Linked DNA regions of Pelodiscus sinensis. The protein of the gene in region 1 interacts with the protein of each later gene in a pairwise test. Links are inferred from orthologs where the notes say so. Each region holds a gene or a part of one and is shown on either strand. Other genes may lie near its edges.

Region 1 (8,539 bases):
GTGGGGCCCCCAAGAGAGCCCTGGCCTCAGAGCTCACTTTCAACTTCCCCATTGAGACAATTGGTGAGTGGGGGAAGGTCTCTTGGGGATAGAGCTTCCACTGGCCTGCTTATCTCCCGCATTCCAGCTTGGCCTGGTGATCTCAGGGGTTGTCCAACCTTCTCTTCCTCCTGTACTCTCCTACCTGCCCTGATAAGTGTCCTCCACATGCCAGCTTTCCAAGATGTGGTCATCCATAACATCTGCCACTCACCCCTGTCTTTCTGTCCTGCCCACCACAGTGTGCCTTCAAGACAGTGTGCTGGCCTTCTGGAAACATGGCATGCAGGGCCGCAGTCTGGAGAGCAATGAGGTGAGTGCAGGTCAGGGCTTGGGTGGATGCATCTACCTATCTTCCCTAGATGAGGGGGGATCAGACGCTGCAGGGGGGAATAACTTGGAGATGATGTATGCAGAGGTAGTATTGCTCCTGAGGGAGACTCTGTGATATAGGATCTATCCCCATCGTTGGGTAGGGGATGGAGATGCATTGACCCAGTAGGGATCTGGGCTGGGAGAACTCTGTGCTGATCTGAACCTTCTCCTTGACAGGTGACCCAAGAAATCACAGATAAATCCAGGATGTTCCGTGTGCTGGGAGCCAACAGGTGAGACCCCAAAGTGAGGATGTAGTCATGGCAGATGGCAGCAAGCAATTCTTGTCCTGCTGTCTCCACCCTCTGATCAAGTGGTATGGCTGCCCTGCTATAGCTCGCTACCCCCAGTCTGGCTGTGGTAGGAACCTGTTGCCAGCCTGCAAGGCTGGGACAGTGGGAAAATTATCTGGGAGACCAGGAGCTGAGAACTTTTTTCCTTCCTCTTGCCTAGGCCAGATCACTTTAGTAGCTGGTCTCCATCTTGCACACTCTAGTGTGTGCATCCTGTACCCTTGATCCTGTGGGATGTTACATGACTGGGTGGATTTGCAGGCTTGTCAGGGTTTGGGCTGCATTCTGGGCAAGCCAGAGGTTGCATGGTGAATGTGCTGTATTAGGGACTGGGTTTGTATAACTGGGATGAAGTTATGCTGCTGTGCTTATCATTGCAGTATCAGAGCACGTGCCAGGAGCACATTAAGCATAAAGTGGTGGTTCTTTTGTCATCTTGCTAAGGGAGAAGCATGTGTGGGGAGTTTAGTTTGGGTTTATACAGCCAGTTCCCGACTTACGTTCCAAACACCTGATTGTAACTCCATTTGTTCGTAAGTCGGAAATACATGCTTTTACATACAGCCACACTGTTCGTAAGTGTGGATGGTGCATTCGTTAGTCGGGGACCAGCTGTAATGGGATTAATGGGAGGTTGGTCATAAGTGTGGATGGTCATAAGTCGATGCTTTTGTAAGTCGGGGACTGGCTGTATAATGAAATGCTGTTATGTTTATATGAGAAATGATGAGGTCAGATAAATGTGCCCAGCACTTGAACCAAGAGTTGATTTTGCATGGTTGGATTGGAGAGGCTGATTTTGCATGGTGGCCAAGGTTGTGTGATTGGGTTGAGGGGGGAGGGCTGGAGTTGCGTAGAGGGTTTGGTTTTGTGTGATAGGTAGACTGCATTCATGGCTGTGGGACTGGAATGGGGTCTAGATTGGGTGGTGGAATACATTCATGGCTGGGGCTGGCTTTGCTGAGTTGCATTCCTAGCTACATCTCTCAAGTCACCTTTGAGCAAAACAGTCGTCCTGTTCTGCTCAAAAAACATTCTGACCATGAATTGTTAGTCTTTAAGGCTCCATAGTTGTTTTTGCGGAAACAGACTAACACAGCTACCTCCCTGAAATTTCTTTCCAGAGATGTAATCCTGGAGAGCACGCCTACGGAGAATCCTTTAGCTCACAGCAACCTCTACATCCTAACGGGGCATGAGAGCAGCTATTGAGTATGTGGAACTGCCTTTCCAACATCCCCATGGGGATGGATGCAGAGCCCCAGTGCAAGGGGAAATTCTGCTGTGATGATTTAAACTACTGATTTCTGAGATAGCAGGAGCCTAGGGAACTCTTCCCATGAGCAAGGTCCATCTTGTGTTGTGGGAATCCATGCCAGATGGATTCTATTTTATAAACTCTACAGTCCACCTCTTCTGTTGTCCAAAGTCTTCCTGAGATACTCCTGTTTTTCAGAAGTGTATGGAGAGATTCCTTCTGCCCTTTTAGAGTGAGCATCTCCTGAGACTCTTATGTTTGCAATAATTGACTACCAGCCAGTCCAAAGAAGCCTCCTTAGTCTGTCTTGACTGATACTTGTGCCTGCTGAATGCTTCCTCTTCTCTCCTCCCCACCCCATTCTTAATCCTAAGAAGGGGTCTTCTGGAGAGACATGTTGTGAAAGTGTCCTCCTCCAGCTTCAACATGAAGACAATCCATTTTCCAGTGGGTGCATTCTTTTTCCTATGTAGCACTTAAGGTCCAGAAATCTGGCAAACATCTTCAGCAAAAGGAGTGGGAAAGCAATTCTGTGTCTTCTCATTCAAAGTGTAAGCAACAAGCAAAGCTTGAGGTGGGACAAACCTGTTGAATCAGTGGCTGGGATACCTATTTGACTGTTTTGGTAATGGTTGGGCAGGTTGCTTGGCTGCATGAGTTCTGATGAGGGGAAGAGTGTGATGGCTGGTTGGGCATAGGTTGGCTGGTTTAAGTAGCTGGGTGATGGCTTGGTGGCAGAGAGTTGAGTGCTTGTTGGTAGGGAGTGGTGATTAGCAGGATGAGGTGGTGGTTTGGTTTGGAAGTGGCTGGGGCAATACTTGGGTGAATGAGGGGAAATATGGGTTTGGCTGATGAGGCAATGTGAGGGACTTGTTTAGTGAGTAAGCCAATTGCTTCGCAGGGTGGGGTGGCTGATTGGTATAAAAGAGGTTTGAGAGTATCTGCTACAGAGAGACTGGATGCATGGTTGGCATTCTGAGCATGAAAAGATGGGTGGGTGGGTGGGTGGATGGATGACTGTTTTAAAATGAAGCAGACTGCTTCACTACCAGGCAGTGTGTTAAACTGGCTGGCTGTTGGGATGCCTTGTTCTTTTGCTGCCTTGGAAAACTGTGCCAATCCTAAATGCCATTGTGACAGAGATCAGAATCTTGGGGCCAACAGCTCTACTAACTCAGGCAGTGGAAGCTTCCCTTTCTGTTTTGCTAATTTCTCTGTTTTTTAACTGAGAGCTGGAATTTATGGATAAAAAACAAAACTTGAAAAAATATGCTATTTAAGAGATATATTGATATTAAATGTGTCTTTTGTTTGCTTGGTGTTAATTGGCTGAATCATTCCTAGGGGAGAGCCATTGGGGCCTCTTTGCCTATTCAGGTCCACTGCTGTCCTTTCTAGTTTTTATTGCTGTCACACTAATTGGTAAGGACTGGTTTTCAGTCCTGCCTGAAACCCCCTTCTTCCTCCATGAGAACTGTTGTTTATCATGGGATGGGGTAATAGTCCCAGCCACTATCACTGGGACCTGGGCAGGGGTAAGGAGAACACAGTTGTGTGTTTGTGGGCTGGGACTACGCTCTCCTTGCAAGTGAAATGTAGCCTCGGAGAAGGGCTGAAGACTAGGGATGTAAAACATGTATTTGTGTAAACATGTAACCGCTGGGTTCTTAGCAGTTACAGGCAGCAGCAGTCAGTGCTTGTGGGGAGCTGGCTTTTAAGCCGTAGCCTTCATCTCCCGGCTCACCCCTATAGTTTTGCTGTGCACCACGGTGCAGGTGATGTGGCCTAGCACCGCCTTCCCCAAGCCTAGTTCCCAGGAGCCCCTCGGGCTGCAGCAGGGTGAGGAGGAGGAGGCTAGGCTCCCATGAGCCCCTGACAGGGGGAGGCGGTGCCTGCACTCACTGGGGCTCTGGGGCACAGCTTCGCACCCAGGATCGCTCCCGCCCTATCACTCACCAATCAGAGAATGCTCCGTTAATTGAAAGACCCTTTCACCAATCATGGGCGACTGCGCTGCGCTCTGCCCAATAAGAGGAAACCTCCGCATTAACGTCACGACCAACCGACCCCGCACTGTACGGGGTCTTCCAACGACCTTTGCAAAACCTCTAAGGCGCGCCGCGAGTGTCGCAAGACCGCCCCCTCCCCCAATCCAGACGCAGCTCGATATCCCGAGAGCCCGCCCTCCGTCTCTTCAACCAGTCCTAACACGGAAACCTAACTGTGTTCCCGCCCACCGTGCCACACTGCAAGTACCGCGCCTTAAATGCCCAGTCAACCAATCATAACTTGTCTTTCATCCCTCCTTCTCACGCATACTGCCGCTCAACCATTCCCATCACTGTTCGCTAGAGAGTGACATCTCATCTGACCTATGGGTGTTGCCTTCAGCACTTGTCTCCTCTCCTCCAATGACTTTCTTTCACTGGAGCGGCTCGGCCAATGTATCAGCGCGGTTGGCTAACGGACGCATGGCGCTGCCAATAGAAGGACGTGCGCGTACGACTGACATCTCGGCGGCCAATGATTTTCGAGTAGCTTTGTGAGGCGCATAGGCTGGAAGGTTCGCGAAACGCGAACGCCGCGCTGAGGAGACTCTAATGGCGGCGACTGGAGCCAACGCCACGCCGCTAGGGAAGCTCCATCCACCCCCACCACCGGGGAAGCCAGGTTACCCGATGCCTCCGCCGGGTCCACCTGGGCTGGTCCTCCCGGGTCCTCCTCCTCCACCGCCGCCAGGCCCGGGCCAGGCCCAAGCCGCCTTGCTGGGGCCTATGGCGGCTGCTGCCTACCCCTTCGCCGCGCTGCCGCCGCCGCCCCCTCCTCCACCCCCACCTCCCCCGCCGCCCCAGCCTCAGCCCCCGCCGCAGCAACCGCAGCCCCCGCCGCCCCCACCGCCGCCGCCTCCTCCACAACAACAGCAGCAGCCGCCCCAGGCTGGGGGGCCTCAGGCTCCCCCTCAGTACGGGCAGTACCGCTACCCGTCCCCGCCGCCGCCCCCGCAGGGCCATGAGCAACAGCAGCAGCAGCCGCCGCCGCAGCAACAACCGCAGCAGGATGAGAGCGGCCCGGGAGGGGGCAGTAACCACGGTGAGGAGCAGGACGAAAGGGGGTCGGAGAGGGAGGGTCATAAGAGTGGGGCTAGGAAGAATTGTAGGTTGGGTGTGGGGCTGCAGATGAACCGTCGGGCGGTATGAGGGTCTATAGAAGTAAGAGGCAAGCACTGCGAGGGAGCGATGGACGTTGGGAAGCTGGAGCGGTGGGTGTTATGTGTAAATGTGGCAGTGTTCGGTGAGGGAACTGGCTCGGCACCTTTTGAAGCTAGTTGCGAGTCTAGGCTGGGTAGGCAATTTTGGGGGACGTTACAGTGAAAAAGTGAAGGCATTGGGGCTTTTGAGATGGCCATGGGGAGTTAAAGGGGCTGAAACGGAGAGAGAGTTATAGTTTTGGCAATTGTGGGATGGGGTAGAAGTGGAATGGGTAAAATGGTGTTTAAGGGTTCATGGGATGAGACGTCTCTTGACACTTTGTAGGGGTATTGCAGGGAAAGAGGTATATTTGAGAATGGAAGGAAGTGATGGTGTTGAGTACTGGGAAAGAGGAAAAGGGTTGTGACTAATAAAAGGTTGAATGAGATGGGGATAAATAGGAGTAGGATGAGACTAGATTGATAAATGGAGAATGAGTCTAGGTGGAAGATGAACCAGCCAAATATGGGGAAATGAAGGGGAACAGGATGGGTTGAGGTGTTGGCTGTTTTCTTTGAAGAAAGAGAATTGAGCAAGGGAACATTCTTAATTGGAGAGTGGGTTTGTGGCTAGGAAGATGGATGGAAAGACTTGGTTGTGGGTACCAAGAGGAAAAAAAAGATCTGAGTGTTGATATCTTAAAACGGGGGTTCTAAACATGTGGGCATGTGCTGTTCAGTGGAAGCTTTGGGCACAAAACTGAAGTCCCAAAACACTGAACAGCCTGAGATTGGTATTCTTGGAAGAAAGGAGGCCTGGTGGTGTTTATAGGCATTAGCAGATACTCATGCAACCAAAATGGAGGTCTGTGTAGTATTGGGAAGAAATGAGGGTAAAAGCTACCATGGTCTCTTCTTTCACTTTCTGTTTTTGCTGGTCTCTCTTTTTAGCAAAATGATTAGAGATAGCTAATCCTGTTAATCTTCTAATCTTTACAATAAGAGCTCATTTTGGAAATCTGTATTTAAATCATAACAGAATGCTTTTCTGTGTGAAGGCACGTGAAAGCTCAGCATAAAAAAGGAGCAGTAACAATTTCCTACACACTGTTAAAGGAAAACTGCTGTGGGTATAGATAGTTTCCCATCACATCATCCAATGTAAATATCCCAGGTCTTGTAATGTGTACAAAGAGGCTGAATGTGAAATGGTGCTGTGAGGCAGCCATGTTGCTTTACTGATGGAAATCAGAACTGTAACATTCCCTTTAAAAATGGTGGCAGAAATTATTAGAAAAATAGTGTTGGATTCTAGAGTAATGTTTTTTCTTTAGAGAGCCTTCCTGTTTTCAGTTGGTTTGACTAGCTTGATTGAGGAGCATAATTTTGTAGTTGATATCACTGTTCTGTTGAACTCAAGTCTACTGAGTTTGTCCCTTGCTTATTTGCTGACAATAAATACATCTTTTAACATGGCAACATGGCTGCTTTTGCTTGTTTTTGTCTACGTATTGTGGTAGCACCCAATGGCCTGAACATAGATAGCATTCACACAGTACTAGGTGCTGTGCAAACACGGTGACAGTAAAAACATAAAGGCTGAATAGACAGGGAGTAGAGTGGAAACCGGCATAGCACAGAGGTAAAGTTATTTGTCCAAAGTCAATTGGCAGGTCAGTGATTGAACTGAAATTATATCCACTAAAACTGTGTGCAACTTTTCTCATCCCTATAAGAGATTTGGTATTGGAAGGAGTGTAGGTTGCCTTGTCAGTATTTTTTATTTAAGGGAATTCTGTGTGCTCAGTGTTGCTGTTAATAACTTTTGTGTTATGTTATGTTATGTTGTAGAAACACCTTCAAACATACAAAGTTTGTCTAAAAAAGGATGCTTGCCTTTAGATTTCCCTAATAAGAAGCGGAAGAGAAGCAGATGGAACCAAGACACCATGGAGCAGAAGACTGTCATCCCAGGAATGCCCACTGTTATCCCTCCTGGACTCACTCGTGAGCAAGAGAGAGCTTATATAGGTAAATACACGTTCTCCCCTTTTCCCATCTGATCTGCTGTCAGTGGTGATCCTATTTCTGGATTCTGAGTGATTTGAAAGTTAACCTTTTTTTTCTAGACTTCAGGTTATTATGGCCTTATTACATAACTTCAAATCAATAATTCTCACACATTTGCTCAGTCATGCACTGTTGCAGCTCCCCTCTCCTGCTTGTGACAGGAGTAATGTTCTCCACAGGCATGGTGAAAATGGAATGGCTAGAATAGTTTTTGTAGGTGTGATAGTCCTTTCTCTAGATATATTGGCCCTTATTCTGGAGGTGTACTTAATAATCTCATTACAGTTGGTGGGAGCCTCTAGAATTACCTCTCCAGTGGAGAACATTGCCTCCAAGTCCCTCTTCACACTGTAGTATGTGGGAAGCAGGTGCCTCCTTTCACAGCACAGCTGTACACCAGAAATGTCCCCACCCCAACCTAGTCTCTGACTTACTTTTAGGGTGCTTAATTTAAAAAAATAACCTTCCTAGAAGTTCAGTTTTGCATTCAAGGTGGTATTGATCACATTGGTTTTGCTGTCAGGGAAATTAAGAAACTTTTTTTCTGTGTGGCAAGAAATCTAAACTTTCAGCATCTCTTCTAGTTAGAGCTCTGCTTAATGAACTCTGTATTCACATGCACACAAACTGCTGAGCAAGGGATATGGCTTAGTTATGTGGGTATGAAGGGATTTGAAATATTAGTTGTGAAAATGGGGAATTTCAAAGGTTAAGATTGGTCTTTGGGACTACACCATACCAGTATGGGAATAAGAATGTTTTAATTAACTTGATTTATAAATACAAGGTTTTAACATTAACTTTGCCTTCAATTGCAAACAGTGATGCTAAATTCACTTTTCATGAACTGATAAGCCAGGAGTGTGAGAGAGGCAAAAAAAATTTCTAATGTGTCTGAGACTTTGCATTGTCACATGTAATTCTATTCTTGCCTTTTTACATAAAGCGAGCTCTTCTTCACAAGACAGTCTGATCCAGTTCATCTGCTTGAGGTTGAAAACAATTCTTGGTTTCTTTCTTCTGCATAACCACTGAGAATTTTGATTTGCTTTGTAACTGATTTCCTTGTCCATCCACAGCAGTGCTGAGAGCTGGCAATGATTACTACTTAAATCTGTTAATGGTTTACTGGCAAGGCTGCTAGTTCAGTTTCTAGACAGTGTCAATTTTTCCCTTAGTTCTGACAGTTTCTGTATCAGAAGATCTCTAGAGAAATTTAGAGGTGAATTTGATCCATAAAACAAACATCTGATATTTAAAGGAAAAGTCAGGTGTTAACTGATTTTACAGCTGTTCTGTAGTGAGAAATTTACACAA
Region 2 (8,642 bases), on another chromosome or scaffold:
TGTGCTCCAGCCCCCTAATCATTTTGATCGCCCTTTGCTGGACCCTCTCCAATGCATCCACATCCTTTCTATAGTGGGCGCCCCAGAACTGGACACAGTACTCCAGTTGTGGCCTCACCAGAGCCGAATAAAGGGGAATAATCACTCCTCTGAATCTGCTGGCAATGCTCCTCCTAATGCGCCCTAATATGCCATTAGCCTTCTTGGCTACAAGGGCACACTGTTGACTCATATCCAGCTTCTCATCCACTGTAATCCCCAGGTCCTTTTCTGCAGAACTGCTACTTAGCTATTCGGTCCCCAGCCTGTAACAATGCTTGGGATTCTTCCGTCCCAAGTGCAGGACTCTACACTTGTCGTTGTTGAACCACATCAGATTTCTTTTGGCCCAATCCTCTAATCTGTCCAGGTCACTCTGGACTCTATCCCTGTCCTCCAGTGTATCTACCTCTCCCCCTAGCTTAGTGTCATCTGCGAACTTGCTGAGGGTGCAATCCATCCCCTCATCCAGGTCATTAATAAAGATGTTGAACAAAATCGGTCCTAGAACAGATCCTCGGGGCACTCCGCTAGAAACCGACCGCCAACCTGACATTGAGCCATTGATCACTACCTGTTGGGCTCGACAGTCTAGCCAGCTTTCTATCCATCTTACAGTACATGTATTGAATCCATACTCCCTTAACTTGCTGGCAAGAATATTGTGGGAGACCTTATCAAAAGCTTTGCTAAAGTCAAGGTATATCACATCCATTGACTTTCCCATATCCACAGAGCCAGTTATCTCATCATAGAAGCTAATCAGATTGGTCAGGCACGACTTGCCCTTTGTGAATCCATGTTGACTATTCCTGATCACTTTCCCCTCTTCCAAGTGCTTCAAAATGGATTCCTTGAGGATCCCCTCCATGATTTTTCCAGGGACTGAGGTAAGCCTGACGGGTCTGTAGTTTCCTCGATTGTCCTTCTTCCCTTTTTTAAAGATGGGCACTACATTTGCCTTTTTCAAATCATCCAGGATCTCTCCCGATCTCCACGAGTTTTCAAAGATAATGGCCAAAGGCTCCGCGATGACATTTGCCAATTCCCTCAGTACCTTCGGTTTCATTAAATCCGGGCCCATGGATTTGTGTATATTTAGCTTTTCTAAATAGTTCCTAACTTTTTCTTTCCCCACCAAGGGCTGTCCACCTCCTTCCCATACTGCATTGCCTAGTGCATTTGTCTGGGAGCTGACCTTGTCCGTGAAGACAGAGGCAAAGAAAGCATTGAGTACTTCAGCTTTTCCCACATCATCTGTCACTAGGTTACCTCCCTCATCCAGCAAGGGCCCCACACCTTCTCTGATCACCCTCTTATTGCTAACATGCCTGTAGAAACCTTTCTTTTTTTCCTTCACGTCCCTTGCTAATTCCAGTTGCACTTTCACCTTCCCGATAACTCCCCTGCATTCTTGAGCAATATATTTATACTCCTTTCTAGTCATCTGGTTGCCTACCATATTTGCTTCTCTTGCTGTGCATCAGGATGGTTTCTTCCTGTGCCTTTAATAAGGCTTCTTTAAAATACTGCCAGCTCTCCTGGACTCCTTTCCCCTTCATGTAAGTATTCCAGGGAATCCTACCCATCAGTTCTCTGAGTTAATCGCATTGATAAACAAGAGAATACCAATTGAAATGTATTAAATATTGTGGACATTTTTCTATATTTTCAATTACAATACAAAATGTACAGTGCTTACTTTTTTTAAAATTACAAATATTTGAACTGTAAAATGATGAAAAAATAGTACCTCTTTATACTTTGGCCATCATGCCAGAGAACATGCCTCCAGGCTGATGATGCACATTAAAAAATAATGTTAATTACATTTGTGACTGAACTCCTTAGGGGAGAATTGTATGTCTCATGCTGTGTAGTACCTGCATTCTGCCATATATTTAATGTTGTAGCAGTCTAGGAAGATGACCCAGCAAATGTTGTTCATTTTAAGAACACTTTCACTGCAATTTTGACAAAACACAAAGAAGTTCTAAAGCTAACTACAGCACTTGACCCAAGGTTTAAGAATCAGAAGTACCTTCCAAAATCTGAGGGAGAAGGTGTGGAACATGCTTTCAGAATGGGAGCTGAAGTGTGAAGGGACGAATCTTTAGCACATCAGGCATGTAAATATTTTGTGATGCTGGCTACAACCATGTCATGCAAACAACTGTTTTTCCTTTCAGGTGACATTTTAAACATGGAGCAGGCAGCATTATCCCTTGCAAATGTAAACACATTTGTTTGAGTGGACAAGAAGTAGGATTCAGTGGACTTGTAGGCTCTAAAGTTTCACATTGTTTTATTTTTAAATGCAGTTATTTTTTGTATATGTCTACTTTTTTAATTTCAACTTTCAGGATAAAGAGATTGCATTATAGTACTTATAATGGGGAACTGAAAAATACTATTTTTTTACAGTGTAAATATTTGTACAAAAAATAAAGTGAGCACTGTACACTACATATTCTGTGTTGTAATTGACATAAAATATTGAAAAGATGGAAACATCCAAAATATTCAAAAATATAGTATTCTATTATTGTTTAAGAGCATGGTTAGCCACATGATTAATTGTGATTCATTTCTAATCACATGATTAATCACAATCAATTTTTTTAATCATTTGACAGCTTCACTGAAAATGCTTGCATCTGTTGTCCATTTTAAAAAATGTAATGGTAGTAATCCCAGTGTTCTGGCCATATTCTAATTTAAATTAAGTAGATAGTTGAAGTTCCCCTGTTGTTTCAAGTGGACATATTTTTATCTACCTCCCATCTGTGTATTTATGCAGTTAAAGAATGTGTAGCTTCTTCACCAGAGGTGACTAATTTGAGGTGTATGAATTGTGATGCCTGGATATCATTTATATGGATCAGATCCTTTTCTTTGAGAGGCAAAAAAGCTTGTGTAAGGCACAACAATTATGCAAAGGTTTCCCTTTAGGGCTTCTTTTTTGCTGCTAACACTTGAGATATTGTGGGGGTGATGCTCCTGCAAAGCAAATACCTGGCAGCTCCGCACCCTGCCCTCAGACAGTGTTTCCATAGCATTGGAATGACATTGCAGAGCTCCCCAGCATTCAGGTCAGTGGAGTTTTATGCTTTCCACTTGTGGAAGCATGGAAAATAATAGGGCCATAAAAATACTTTGGTATCCTTCAGAATAAAAAGGACCAGAGGAATACAATATACATAGTCAAATTCATTTCTCATTTACAAATCTATGAATGCCTATTGATTCCAGTGGAGTTACACAAATGTAAGAGAAGGAAGTATTTTGCCAATTATTATTACAAGATTATGAAAGGATTTAAAATATTGTCCTTATTAACACTAAAACATGTAAACTTTTAAGTTGTAACAATACTTCAAAACACGCAATATATCACCACACAAAATAGCATTGTTTGCCCTGTTTTTGTAGCTGTGTTGGTCCGGAGAGAGACAGGGTGAGGTAATACTTTTTATCGAACCAGCTTCTGTGAGTAAAAGAGAAACTTTCAAGCTTCACCTTCTAGGCAGTGGAATAGTGCTTGTCAATGCTTCTGTACTTTTGTTTTTTGACCAGATCGCAAGGAATCTCCTTCCTATTGAAGGGGCTGTAATTATTTCACGTAAATAATTACATTAATTTAGCTAAATTTCCTTCCCCTTTCTTTTTGCTTTACTGGAAACAAGGAGAGAGTAAATATCATGGCGGCTGCTACTGGCCTCGTCCTGTCTGTGCACTGCGGCAAGATCGCTTTTATGACATGTGTAGGCAAACAAACATGCACTTTACACGACAACCCCTTCTCTGCCCCAGCAGACACTGAGCTTAAATGTTGTGTCAGCCTGGTGAGTTTCCTGAACAAGACGCAGCCTGGGGGTGAGGGTGGGGGGGATTTCTTAGGCAGCAGAGCTAAATTGCACCAAGGCCTTTTCAACTCTGCAGCTTGCCACACAGAATTATTGTCTCTCCAGCTTGCTGCCACCTCCCACTCATGCAGTTGCTGCAAAGGCAAAAAGACCTTATTCTCCAAGCACAATACGCTACGCGAACCATGCAATTCTGCACCCCCCCCCTCCGCCGGCCAGCTGAGCAGAAGCAACTGAAGAATTTTACGCAAAATGGAAGGCTCTTCCTTCCCCTACGCTAAACCCAGCTCAGAACCAGCCACTGCTACGAAACTTGTGTAGAATAATGTACGTAATATGCCGCTTGGTCAGGGTTTGCCTCCCCGTTCGTTAAATGGGTTACTTGAGTGGCATTTTGCGCAATCGAATTTCGGGAATAAGGAACAGCGTTGTCTCCAAACGCAAGAAGCCAAATCAGATCGTGGGTACTACGCAATTTGCGCATTGTCGTGGTTAGGTTCGGCTTTCCGGCCTCATACGTACTCAGACTTCGAGAATAGGCGTAGCGACGTTCGTATCACCCCTCCCCCACGCCGGCTATTCAGGGACGGAGCTTGCGCAAAGTTCAAGCCGCCCTTAACGTAAGTGGAGCGGGCTGGGGCGGCGGCAGCCATTTTGTGCCGGGAGCCCAGAGGAGGAGGACGCTGTTCTGTCTCCGCGCCCGACGGGCCCTCAGGCGAACCGAGCCGCTCTCGGCCCCGCGAACCGAGCCCGACCGAGTCTCTCGCCTCCCCGCCCCCTCCCTCGGGAAGTGAGGCGGCCAAAGGCGACTCCGCCGGGACACAACAGCCGCCGCCGGCCGAGCCCCCCCACCCCTTCCGCGCCACCCCCAGCTCGCGCCCCTCTGTGCCCCCCGCCCAGCCCCACGGGAAGATGCGGGGCTTCGGAGACCGGGGCCGGGACCGCGACCGCGGCGGGTAAGAGCGGGGGGGTGGGGGGAGCGCGGTGTGGGGGAGGGGCGGCGGGGAAGTAGCCAGGCAACGCCCCGGGGCTGGGCCGCGGGGGTCACCTCCTCGGGCCGTGGACTGGGAAGGTCTTGGACTCGGCTGGATCCAAGGCGAGGCGGTTCCGGGTCTGTGAGGAGCCGCTGGCGGGTGACCCGAGGGGAGGCCGCGGGGGGGCTCTTCGGATTGGAGAGTGAGGGGCCCTAGGTCGCCGCCCGGCTCGGGAGGAATCGCCCCCGCGCACCTTTGTTCCTGCTCTTGCGGTGTCTGGCGCGAGAGGGACGGGGCCGTTTCCCCTCTGGCCGGCAGGATACCCCCCCCCCCCTTCCCTGTCACTGGGTTCGAGTTCATGGCCTTTGACTTCGCTTCTCCTTCTTCCGCACTGGTCACACTTTGAGCCGTAAGGATCCCTCTTCCTCAAGCTGCTGGCCTTGCTTTAGGACTCTGCTTGCCAGGGACAGCACACGGAGTTTGTGGAGGGGACTGGTCCTGACCCTTTTTCTGAATGTCATGGCTATTAACGTGGCCAGAAAAATGGTTGTTAAATAACAGTGCCTATTTCTGCAGTATTCCTAGCCCCTGTTGAAGGTGATGGTGAAAACAGACATGAAAAGTGAACGTGAGCCTTTTGTGTAGTAGCAAAGAGCCCTTAAGCCTGATGAGTGTACCCAGGGTAAGGGGTGGAAAAATCTGCAATCAAACTACGATGTTCCATATTGCTGTGCCTATCAAGTTGGTTCCTTGCTCTTTTGATATCACTCATCATGGGGCCTAATAGAGTTTAGGAAAATAGGATTCAGTTGAGCTCTGATTTTGGGGAACAAGTATAAGACCTCATTTAATCATAAAATAGAAAATATATGAATGGTCCGGGATTGATATTTGAGTACTTGATTTAGTAGAATGGGGTTAAGAAATGGCAATACCTCAAGTTTTTCCTGGAAAAGACTAGTAGGGATTAAAGAGAAGGAATTGGGTCCTGACAGAGAGCAAATAAAATATACTTACTCCTTGTCTTATTTCTCCTTTGACTGATTTTTGAGTCAAGAAATGTGCCTGTTTGCTATATTCAAATGTATTTCCCCTTTTCTCAAGATGAAGTTGAACAATGTTTTGTTAAAATTATCTTTCCCAATAGACTGGATAATCTAAGAGCTCCACTTCAATTTTATATTCACATCAGACATACATATAAGTAACTCCCATCTGAAATATAAAGATCCTTTCAGTTACATTGCAGAGAATAGGGCCTTTTTGTTTTTCCACTATAAGCTTTCTAGTTCAGTGAAAAGCAGGTCTTGGGGTAAATGGTTTGGTGAATCTCAGATGACTTAGTCCCTAGCTGTTTTTAGAGTTAAGTGAAGAGTAATGGTATTCAGAACTATACATAGGTATTTAAAGGGACGCTATCCAGATTTTGAGGCATCAGCATTTGACCTGCCTTTACATATAATCCTATTTTGAGTAAAAATATGCTTTTAAAAAACTTTATTTTCAGATTTTATTAAGCCATGTTTTGGGTAGAACCTACAGAAATACAATACTTTGTTCTCTTTAGAATTATGCTGACGTTGATTCACCTTGCATCATCAAAATGTATTATGACAGGGTTTAGAGTGACCACAGGAAAGGTATTTATAATAATCTTATTTCATATCCATGAAAAATGAAGGTGGGAGAAAATAGTCTTGTCAAAAAGAAAAGGACAGAGTCAGGAATAGGGAAACTACTTGACAATGAATCTTACAAAAAAAAGTTTTAATTCACAGAAAGCTATAAATTATGGGCTTTGGCCCTGATCTCATTCCAAGTAATATTTGGCTTTGTTGCATAGCTTTATGAATTGCTACAAAAAGTCACAACTTTTTGTAATATAAACTGGATTGTGTGTGTGTGTGTGTGCGCGCGCGCCTGTGCATGTATCAGATAGTGAAACAGTAACAAGTATTTCTAATATTGAAAACTCTATTCCTGAATGGTTCCATACCAAAAATTCAGCACATCATAACTTTAAAAAAATTATTTCTGAGATCTAAAACAATGTTTTTTATGACTTGCAGTAATGGAAAATTGTATGGTGGGATTTGAAAGATAATTAGATAGTCCACTTACTGTGTTAGACAAACTTCAGTTGGATGTTTACTTTCTAGTTGCACTCAATTCTTGTTGCAGAGTCATTTAGATCTGGATTTTTGTGTGTCTTGTCCTGAATAAGTTGTTAATGACCTTAATAACACTGATATGGTGCAGTTTTACTTTAGCACTTGAATAAGATGCTGTAGCATTAAGTTCTGGAGGTAGCTGCATTTCAGTTATTGGTGAAGTGAATCAGTCACCACTGAACAAGGACAAATAATGCCATGCAAATAAGCAGAATTACTCTAGGTTTACAATTGAAATTGTAATCTGTTCCATATCAGTAATAGGGTTGTTAAATATCAAGTAATTGACTAATCAAATAGTCGATGCATTTTGCAATGACTATTTGATTAGTCGATAGGGCGCCTTCCACCTTTGAATTGTAGCAAAAGCCCTACACTTCAAAGGTGGAGGCACTGCATGGAGCCCAAGGTCAGCTGTTGACTCCCCCGTTGATCCTGGGCTCCATGCAGAACTGCAGCTTTGAAGCATTGCAGGGAGCCCGGTGTCAGGCTCCTCATGACGTTTCAAAGTGGCAGCGCCCTGTGGAGCCTGGGGACTCCTCCCGGTGACCCTGGGGGCTGCATGCGGCATTTCAAAGTGGCAGCACCTTGTAGAGCCCAGGGTGTGGTCCCAGGCTCCACGTGGTGGTGCTGCTTTGAAGTACCCCTTTCTCTCCCTCCACCCTCCCACCTCTTTCTGATAGGCAGCAAGGAGAGGGGAGAGTGACTAGTTGGCTAGCCTGTCGACTATCCGATAAGCATTTGCTTATCAGATAGTCATTCACGTCCCTAATCAGTATGTGAAATGTGAGGTACCTCAGGATCAAAATATGATGTGTTGGGGTATTAAATGCTAAAATACTCACTTTTTGGAAAGCCAATCTAAAGCTATATATGTGTAAGCAGAGCCACATGGAACTGAATCTCTTGACACTGCATTGTGGTTTTGTGTGTTGATGACAGTAAAACCCTTAGGCTGTGTCTACACTGGGCCACTTATTCTGGAATAGCAGCCGTTTTTCCGGAATAAGCTGCGAGCTGTCTACACTGGCCGCTTGCTTTTCCGGAAAAGCAATGATGATCTAATGTAAAATCGTCATTGTTTTTCCGGAAAAACTATGCTGCTCCTGTTTGGGCAAAAGTCCTTTTCCGGAAAAACTGTTCCGGAAAAGGGCCAGTGTAGGCAGCACAGTAGTCTTTTCCGCAAAAAAGCCCCGATCACGAAAATGACGATCGGGGCTTTTTTGCGGAAAAGCATGTCTACATTGGCACGGACGCTTTTCCGGAAAAAGTGCTTTTCCGGAAAAGCATCCTGCCAATGTAGACGCGCTTTTCCGGAAATACTTATAACGGAAAAACTGTTCCGTTTTAAGCATTTCCGGAAAAGGGTGCCAGTGTAGACGTAGCCATATTATTGTCCAAATATCTAAGACCTCAAACTTGCAAACATTCATGCATATATTTTAATTTTTACTCATCTGCGGTAGTGCTGTTGTCCTCAGCACTAAATTACCCACGTTCATACCTTCAAGCTTTAAACTAGCTTAGTCTGAAGAATGAATTCAATAAACATGACAATGCTTCTGTAACTAATAACTTTCACTGACAGCCCT

Evidence for each region.
Region 2: the proteins of SF1 (region 1) and DDX17 interact in binary tests that used the Homo sapiens proteins (3 or more experiments, as listed by UniProt). The link is inferred for Pelodiscus sinensis from reciprocal best matches to the Homo sapiens genes SF1 and DDX17.

Annotation. Positions count from the first base shown.
Region 1 is NC_134721.1:35,854,687-35,863,225, reverse strand, and holds the start of SF1 (splicing factor 1), read left to right. Parts: upstream 1-4,481; 5' UTR 4,482-4,565; coding exon 4,566-5,055; intron 5,056-7,054; coding exon 7,055-7,183; intron 7,184-8,539. Other genes in the region: MAP4K2 (mitogen-activated protein kinase kinase kinase kinase 2), read left to right, coding at 1-63, 282-352, 592-647, 1,832-1,919. UniProt on the Homo sapiens protein: Necessary for the ATP-dependent first step of spliceosome assembly. Binds to the intron branch point sequence (BPS) 5'-UACUAAC-3' of the pre-mRNA. May act as transcription repressor.
Region 2 is NC_134711.1:91,724,183-91,732,824, forward strand, and holds the start of DDX17 (putative ATP-dependent RNA helicase DDX17), read left to right. Parts: upstream 1-4,554; 5' UTR 4,555-4,817; coding exon 4,818-4,861; intron 4,862-4,953; exon of another isoform or gene 4,954-5,283; intron 5,284-6,501; exon of another isoform or gene 6,502-6,519; intron 6,520-8,642. UniProt on the Homo sapiens protein: As an RNA helicase, unwinds RNA and alters RNA structures through ATP binding and hydrolysis.